2 linked regions of the Rattus norvegicus genome follow. The protein of the gene in region 1 purifies or fractionates together with the protein of each later gene. This does not show direct contact. Links are inferred from orthologs where the notes say so. Each region holds a gene or a part of one and is shown on either strand. Other genes may lie near its edges. The genes, in order: Bptf and Smarca5.

The links.
Region 2: the proteins of Bptf (region 1) and Smarca5 purify together in Homo sapiens (affinity purification with mass spectrometry; 4 studies listed by BioGRID and IntAct, with this or other methods). This does not show direct contact. The link is inferred for Rattus norvegicus from reciprocal best matches to the Homo sapiens genes BPTF and SMARCA5.

The regions. Positions count from the first base shown.
Region 1 is NC_086028.1:92,498,665-92,502,484, forward strand, and holds part of Bptf (bromodomain PHD finger transcription factor), read right to left. Parts: intron 2,110-3,820; coding exon 1,881-2,109; intron 1,391-1,880; coding exon 504-1,390; intron 1-503. UniProt on the Homo sapiens protein: Regulatory subunit of the ATP-dependent NURF-1 and NURF-5 ISWI chromatin remodeling complexes, which form ordered nucleosome arrays on chromatin and facilitate access to DNA during DNA-templated processes such as DNA replication, transcription, and repair.
Region 2 is NC_086037.1:44,182,539-44,186,358, reverse strand, and holds part of Smarca5 (SWI/SNF-related matrix-associated actin-dependent regulator of chromatin subfamily A member 5), read right to left. Parts: intron 2,683-3,820; coding exon 2,582-2,682; intron 1,922-2,581; coding exon 1,742-1,921; intron 494-1,741; coding exon 338-493; intron 258-337; coding exon 126-257; intron 1-125. UniProt on the Homo sapiens protein: ATPase that possesses intrinsic ATP-dependent nucleosome-remodeling activity.

The sequences.
Region 1 (3,820 bases):
AAGACCGCAGGTCACCAACTTCGATTTGGCAGAGCTCTAATGGTCTGAAGTGACTTACTGCACCCAGACACCACTCCAGGATGCCCCTGCTACACCACAACACCTTACATGGAACTACCAACAAACATCTGATTTAAGACATTTTTACAAAGGTGTGGCAAGTCAATGCAAATGAATTGTCTGCCCACAATTTGCTTAGTCGATAGGCAAATGAAGGACTGACACTTGCAAATCAAATGACTTCAAGTGAATAGCTACACTGTGGTGGGAGCCTTAGCACTCAGTTTTCTACCAGGGAAATGTGGTTTCTCATAAGCACTGATGCCACATGTCCAACAAGAAGTCCCAGGCCAGGCCCGGCAAGCAGTGTTTCTGCTCTTCCAAGGTCACCCACCAGTGACTGTGTATCATTACGGAAGCCTAACACAACCAAACCACTAAGTCTACTGCACAGCACAGTAATTCACGCTACTGAACATGCTGCTTTGACTTAATGACTTTACCTGTTTCTGAATGATTTCACTTTGGTTAGAAGCTTGGAGGGTGTGCTCACGCTCCATTTCTATCTGCTGCTTCTTCTTCTGCTGCTGATCCCTGAGTTGCTGAACCCTTTGCAACTGCTCTCGCACACTGGCTGCCTGCACTGTGAGCACACTCTGAGCGTGCTGGGCCTGCGCAGCACTGTTCTGCTGAACGTGAACGGGCAACTGCAGTTTGATCTGCTGGGGCGCACCACCTTGCTGAGCCTGTATCTGAGCCACAACCTGCGACTGGATCTGAGAGAGAACCTGGACTTGCTGGAGCTGAGGCACAGCGATGACTTGGGGCTGTGGCTGCTGTGTTTGTGGCTGAGGACGGGATGGGGATGGAACAGTAACCTGATTTAATGTCTGTCCTGATGAAAGAGTTTGAGTTGAAGACTGTACCTGGGGCTGTGACTGTGGCTGGCCTTGGGAAGGTGCCTGCAGAGATGTGGGGGGCGGAATTGGAATCGGCTGTGAGGCTGTAGTCTGAACCTGGGGTTGCTGTCCAGGAGTCACTTGGGATGGAGTTGATGGACGTATTCGAGTCAGTGGTGGGCTCTGGACACGAACTGGAGACTGTCCTTGTACACTGCTCTGAGGCTGACACTGTGTTGCAACCAGGGGTTTAGATGACTGTGCTTGGGAGGGCTGTGTTTCAGAAGGGACATGGGACGAGGCAGCTGGCTGGGTCTGGACTTCAGGCTGAGCTGGGGGCTGGGGCTGGGGCTGGGGCTGTGCTGCAGGCTGAGCAGGCTGTGGCTGGGCTTCTGCAGGACTCACACTTGATGACTGAGTTGGTGCCAGGGTTGTGGCTGGTTGTACCTGGGTCTGGGGAGATAATTTACTCTGTTTTTGTTCACCTGAGCCTGTAAAAAAGAAAGACAAAATGGTTTCTGGATGTGAGACTGGGAGACTATGGTGAAAGAAGACTCTGAAGGGAATTTCCTCAACTGAGGAGCTGGGACGTCCCTGATGTCCTCTGTGTGTGTCAGCTGGGCGCTCAGGAGCACCTGTCAAGGGTCACTCTTCCGCTAGGACATGGAAACGAGCACTGAGAGCTTGGAGAAGGCTTACAAAGAGGTCTGGGCCTGCAGCTCTCAAGCACCGTTCTCTCTAAGGAGCCCTCATCTTCATGGCTCCACCAAGGCTGGAGCAGGAGAGCAGGCACAGGGACCACGGCATCCGTTACTCTGTTCCTCCCGCCTTTCTATTATTTTTGCTTTGTGTTGATTGGGAAGTGAGTCTAGGAATAAGGCATGAAGCACAGAGGCTGACCACATGGCTGTTATGCTGGCTGGAGGCCGCATACCCGGCCCTGTGTGAACCCAGCATCAAGTGCAGAGCCAGCATGTCTACCTGTAGCTGTTGCATTAGTGCTGCTGCTGCTGCTGCTGCTGCTGACGGCCGTGACTGGTGTTGACAGTGGGGTAAAGAGGAAACGCTGAACGGTGCCATTCGGCATCGCGGCCTGCATGAGCTGCTGCCCTGGCCCTGGGAGGACCGTCATCCCCTGAGGTATCAGCTGCAACTGTCCAGTAGTCTGACCTTGTCCTTGAATCACTACTGTCAAACCTTGGTTGCCGCCCTGTGGGAAAAGCAGACAACACGGAACATGCAGTGTTCAAATCACAAATCACAAAGCTGAATGAAATCATTTATGTTACATCCTCACCGCGAGAACCCCAGGGGCAAAACTCACTCCTACTTTCACGTCTGGATATAGGTTAGAGCCATCATGTTCAGGTCAAAACTCTAATTTCAATCAATTGACTAAATTTTAGGAGTTTGGGTCTCACTGGTATCCCAGGATAACCTGGAACGCACCGTTGACTTAAGCCATTACTCCTGATTCTTACTTTAAGCCACTTTTATTTATTAATGTTATTTTATACTTTTCAAACATCTTTACATGTAGTCTCACTCCAGTCTCACACAGATTCAGTGCTTAGCAGAGCAAATCTTACCCTATGCCCTAATCACTCGTTCTCAATGACTCAGAAGCAGCAAGGTGTGCATACATGTAAAGGTAGCCTGACCCAACATATTAACACCCGCCTCAAAAAAACCAAGGGCTGGGACAGTGTCTCTGCAGCCGAGAGCCAACCTGCAATTCTCATGGCCCTAAACCCAACTCTCGGAGCCACAGAAAGAAAAAATCCCCTAGCTTAAAGGTGCTGAAAACTGAGCAGGTGTTCTGGGGTCTGCGTTTGTTCCCGTGCAGTATGAACACGTCAAATGTCCTATGCACTGTTAAGTGTTCCAAACGGCTGAATCCAGGTCTTTTCTCTGGGAAGGCATGCTACTGCCCAGTTGTGTTTCTTCACGGATCAGAAACAGAATGTGAGAACACAAGAGTCAGGGGAACTAGAAACCAGGGTTCTACATGTACAGACTGTTTAAAGCCTAGTGCTCAAGCACAGGGTTAGGAAGGAGACAGCTCTCCATGCTAGGAAGGCTGCACTTGGCTCCATAACCTCTGCCTTCCTTCCTATAGCATTCTGTGGGTGACCAAAACTCCACAAATGCCAGGTTTAAGTAACTGTTACAAGCAGCGTGGTGATGACTATGCTGTACCCAAGAATGGGATGTGCTCTGCTGAAGTTCTTTTCCCAGAGGACATGGCTGTCCTCACGGTTTAAACATTGTATCTCTTAAGAATATTACTTCCTAGATCACTGAGCCTCCCACAACAGAAGCAACATCCATGGGCTAGAGAGTTAGCTCAGTGTTAGAGCACTTATTCTTGTGAGGACCCAAGTTCAATTCCCAGCACCTACACAGTGGCTCACAACTGCTTGAAACTCCAGTCACGGACAATTCCATGTCCCTTCCATCAGCAACAGGCATGCACATACATGCAAGCGAAACACTACCACATATGAAATAATAAACCTTAGAAAGAAGCAACATTCATTTAAAATCAATGGGAACGGCCCCTTTGGGTAAAATGAAGCAGGTCCCCTATAGGGGGGTGGGGATGGCGGCATGCCTTTGTTTTGCCAGTTTCTGAAGCCTATACACACACAACCAAATTGTATATTCTTGTTTTAAAATCCCAACTGCAGGGTTTGAGAGATGGCTCAGTAGTTCAGTGCACTGGCTGATCTTCCAGAGGTCCTGAGTTCAATTCCCAGCACCTATATGATAGTTTACAACCATCTATAATGGGATCTGATGTCCTCTTCTAGTGTATCTGAAGATAGCAAGTGTAATCATATACATAAAATAAAACAAAAACGGGGGGGGGGGGGGAGGATGGGGAGGGGAACACCGATAAAGAAGGGGAGGGGGGAGGG
Region 2 (3,820 bases), on another chromosome or scaffold:
ATACTATGCTGGTTTAGTAATAGGCTAGCTACATATGTATGAAAAAGTTAATAGCCATATCAAACAGCACTATTATTAAAATATAGGCATTAACCAAAATATTATTAACCACAAAAAGAGCTTACATCAGCTGAATTAAACACATCTGGTAACAAAAAGTTTAGCAGGGACCAGAGCTCGTGCAGGTTGTTCTGAAGAGGCGTCCCTGTCAGCAACAGTCGGTTTGTAGTCTTGAATTCTCTCACTATTTCTGACAACTGAAAGAACCAGAGCCCATTATTAGAACATTTTGAATCACTCAGACACAAAAAAATGTTCATATTAAGTATCAAATTACCTTAGATTTTTCATTTTTTATCCTGTGAGCTTCATCTATAACTAAGTATCTCCAGTTAAATTTTTTGAACACAGACTTCTCTTTAATAAGCATTTCATAAGATGTGACACATACATCCCACTCTCCTGGTAATAGAACATCCCTGACAAATGCAGCCTATAAAGAAAAAAAAAATTACACCACTCAAGTCAATTATACATTAAATTCACTTAAGTAATCAAAACCAAGGAAGGAAGGAGTCTAATAAACAGCAGGCATTAAATGAACATCAAAGCCACCATCTCACCACCATCTCACCACTGAAACTACTTCCTTATCACCACAGAGTCAGTTTAACTTAGTTTCAAAAGGTTGAAGGGAATCACAAAATTCCATGGCCTAACTTTAAACTATCTTTCTACAGTTCACCAGGTCTTGCCATCCTTAGGAAGCAGGGTTTGTAAGATAAAGGAAGACTGACAGTTGGCAATAGATGGTCTCATTCTTTTGATTTGTAGATATATTAACACATTACTGTTATTGTTCTTATTTTATAGATAAGGATATGAAGTTAAAACGCAGAAGTAGCTGACTTCTTCAAACAAAAAAGCAACTTGGTAACTTAAAATAACCCACATAATCTACCTACTGAGGGGCAAAGAACTCTAGACAGTTCCTGGAGGATGACTCGGGGGTTAAGAACACTTGTTCTTAGAGAAGACTAAGGTTCAGTTTTCAGCACCCACACAGTGGCTCAAAACCATCCCTAACTCTAGTTCCAGAGGTGTTGACTCCCTTTTCTGGCTTCAGTGGAAACCAACATGCATGCAAAGTACCCATAAATATAAAATAATATTTAAAAAAACTAACCTCAACTAATTAAGTGTAAAATCATTTAATATAATCATTTAATCAATGAACACACTTGATTATATCCAACTTCCAAATCTAAGTTCTTTATTCTTAATAGTGTTGTTATTGCCATGACTTTGCCCTAAAAAGATGTGGCCCGGAAGTCAATAATTTAACTCATATTTGTATATAACAGCTCACCAAATTACTAAATTGACTCAACTCATATTTAACAATTACTATTCTATGACTATTACCACTGTACCCTAATCTAGAAATCTGGCCCCTCAAATTTCTAATGGTTTAACATATTCAAAAAAAACAAGTTAATATTTCCAAATAAATTATCTAGGACTTTATACAATGACTTCCAAGGGGAGAAACAAACTGAAAATAAAATTAAGAAATTCATTTAGCTTTTTAGTCTTTAAAGCGTTCTCAGTAAGATTCTTGAATAACCACAAGTAGTGTATAGTCATAAATTACTAACAATCCTTTTTAATCCCTTCTCCAGTTATTTCATCTTAAGTCTAAATTTAAATTCCATTAAATATTAATAGTATAAATACTTACTCTTTGCTCTTTATCTCCTATCAAGCAAACAGACCTAAGTGTTGGCACCCATCTCTTGAATTCACTCATCCAGTTGTGCAATGTAGACTTGGGAACCAAAACCATATGAGGACCAGGAATATTTCTATAGTGTTTCATGTACCCAAGAAGAGAAATTGTTTGCAGAGTCTTTCCCAAACCCTAAAAAATTCATAATTCAACATTAAAGAATTTAATTGCACTAGTCAAATTAAAAATTAAACAATTAAAAACACCCTTCCACACTTATAGACCCATCATATTTAGGAACATTTAGAACTATGACGAGATTGACTACTGTGTAAGTGTACAGTTACGTCACATAAGTCTATAAGGAAGGTATCAACATCACCTCAAGACTCAGAAAACGCGACATCCCCAAGTAACCAATCAGAGGCAGGAGCGAGATATATCTGACTGCATACTTACCCCAACCAATTGTTTAAGCACTACTTTTGGAAGGATTAAAGTCTTCACTAAATAACTAGTAAGTCATGAACAGAAGATACGGTGTTCTGTGAAACTAAACCCTGTGAGCTGACTTTTAATAAATGGAAAGAAACAGTCAAATACTGCAAAAACAAGAAAGTTATCAAAATGCATTATTTTAAAATTTACTCTAGTGCAGAGATGGTTAACTCTTCACACGTGAAGACGTCACTTACGCAACTAAAACAGTGGATTATAGTGCTTTAAGGAAAAAATAGTTATAATCAAGCCAAACTATCCATCTCTCTTCTGCTACAGATTTAGTCAAACTATCTTAAGTTACAACAACAAGAACACAAACATCTTCAAGCTTTGAGATTAGCAAATACATACCATCTCATCTGCAAGGATACCATTGATGCCATTCTCATACAGAGAGATGAGCCAATTCAATCCTCGGACCTGATAATCTCTCAGTTTACCCCATTTTACATCTAAAAAGTAACAACACACAATGCTCATTTTAAGGACAAGAAATATAAGATAGGGCTGTCTTTTATCTGATATTCAGAGGTTTAACTGGAACCTATAGGTGTCTACTTCTCCTTTCTAGAGGATACATATATTATGGGGTTTCTGCAAGGTGAAAGTCATTAAAAATAGGTAATGAAATCTGGACTGAAGAAGGGGTAATTGATACAAGTAACTGATAGTGAAGCTATCAGATGAGGAACTCTAACTACTAGCATCAGAGTAACTCATCGAAATCACTCAATCCAATGTTAAACCACATTGGTCTTCAGAGTATCTCTGGCCTCTTTCCCTCTCTTTTTTGTTAGCACACTTTTAACCGAGTGGTTTCATCTTCATAAAGATCAGATAGTAGTTCTCTGAAGATTTTCCTTTCTCCCCATTGAGAGTGGAAATAAAGACAAGAAATTCTTTCCAAGTCCACCCTTTCTATTCCTTAAGTCCGTTCTCTGATAGATGGCACATAAGGACCCATGTCCTTCAGTACACAGACATTACTTGTACTTCCCGGGATAAATCGCTGCCTAAGAATGAAAAGCTCATCAGGACTGGGCACACGAGTTACAACTGGAGACAGAAATAACCTGAATTTCCTTTCCAGCTTGTTATACATGTAGCTCTGGCCTCTAGCTTGATTTGAAAAGAAAAGGCCGGGGGAAAGGAAAGTGTGTGTTAAAAGTGGTCCAGTGGGTGAGTAAACTGTTCAATAGTCTAGCTAAGCAGGACTCCAACTAAAACCATTAGTTGTCCACAGTAATTACTCATCAAATAACAGGAGTTGCAGTAAAACTAGGCTTCCGTGAAGATTATAGAAGCTTCTAATAACCCTATCACAAATCAAGATTATTTATAAGTAAAACTAAGCTGTTTTCATATAGAAAAGCACTAATACATTTCACAAAAATATCCATCATCAATAAAAGCAATTATTTTTCATGATTTTTCCCCTTTTATAACATTTCCTAATTTGGGAAAAGTGTATGGCAAAAGTCATTCCATTTTACATGGATTTTAGAACCCTAATAAGCTGAATGGCATCTTCATATACTTCTGAAATGTACCATACTATTGTCTCTCAACTCTAGGGATCAAAGTCAGAGC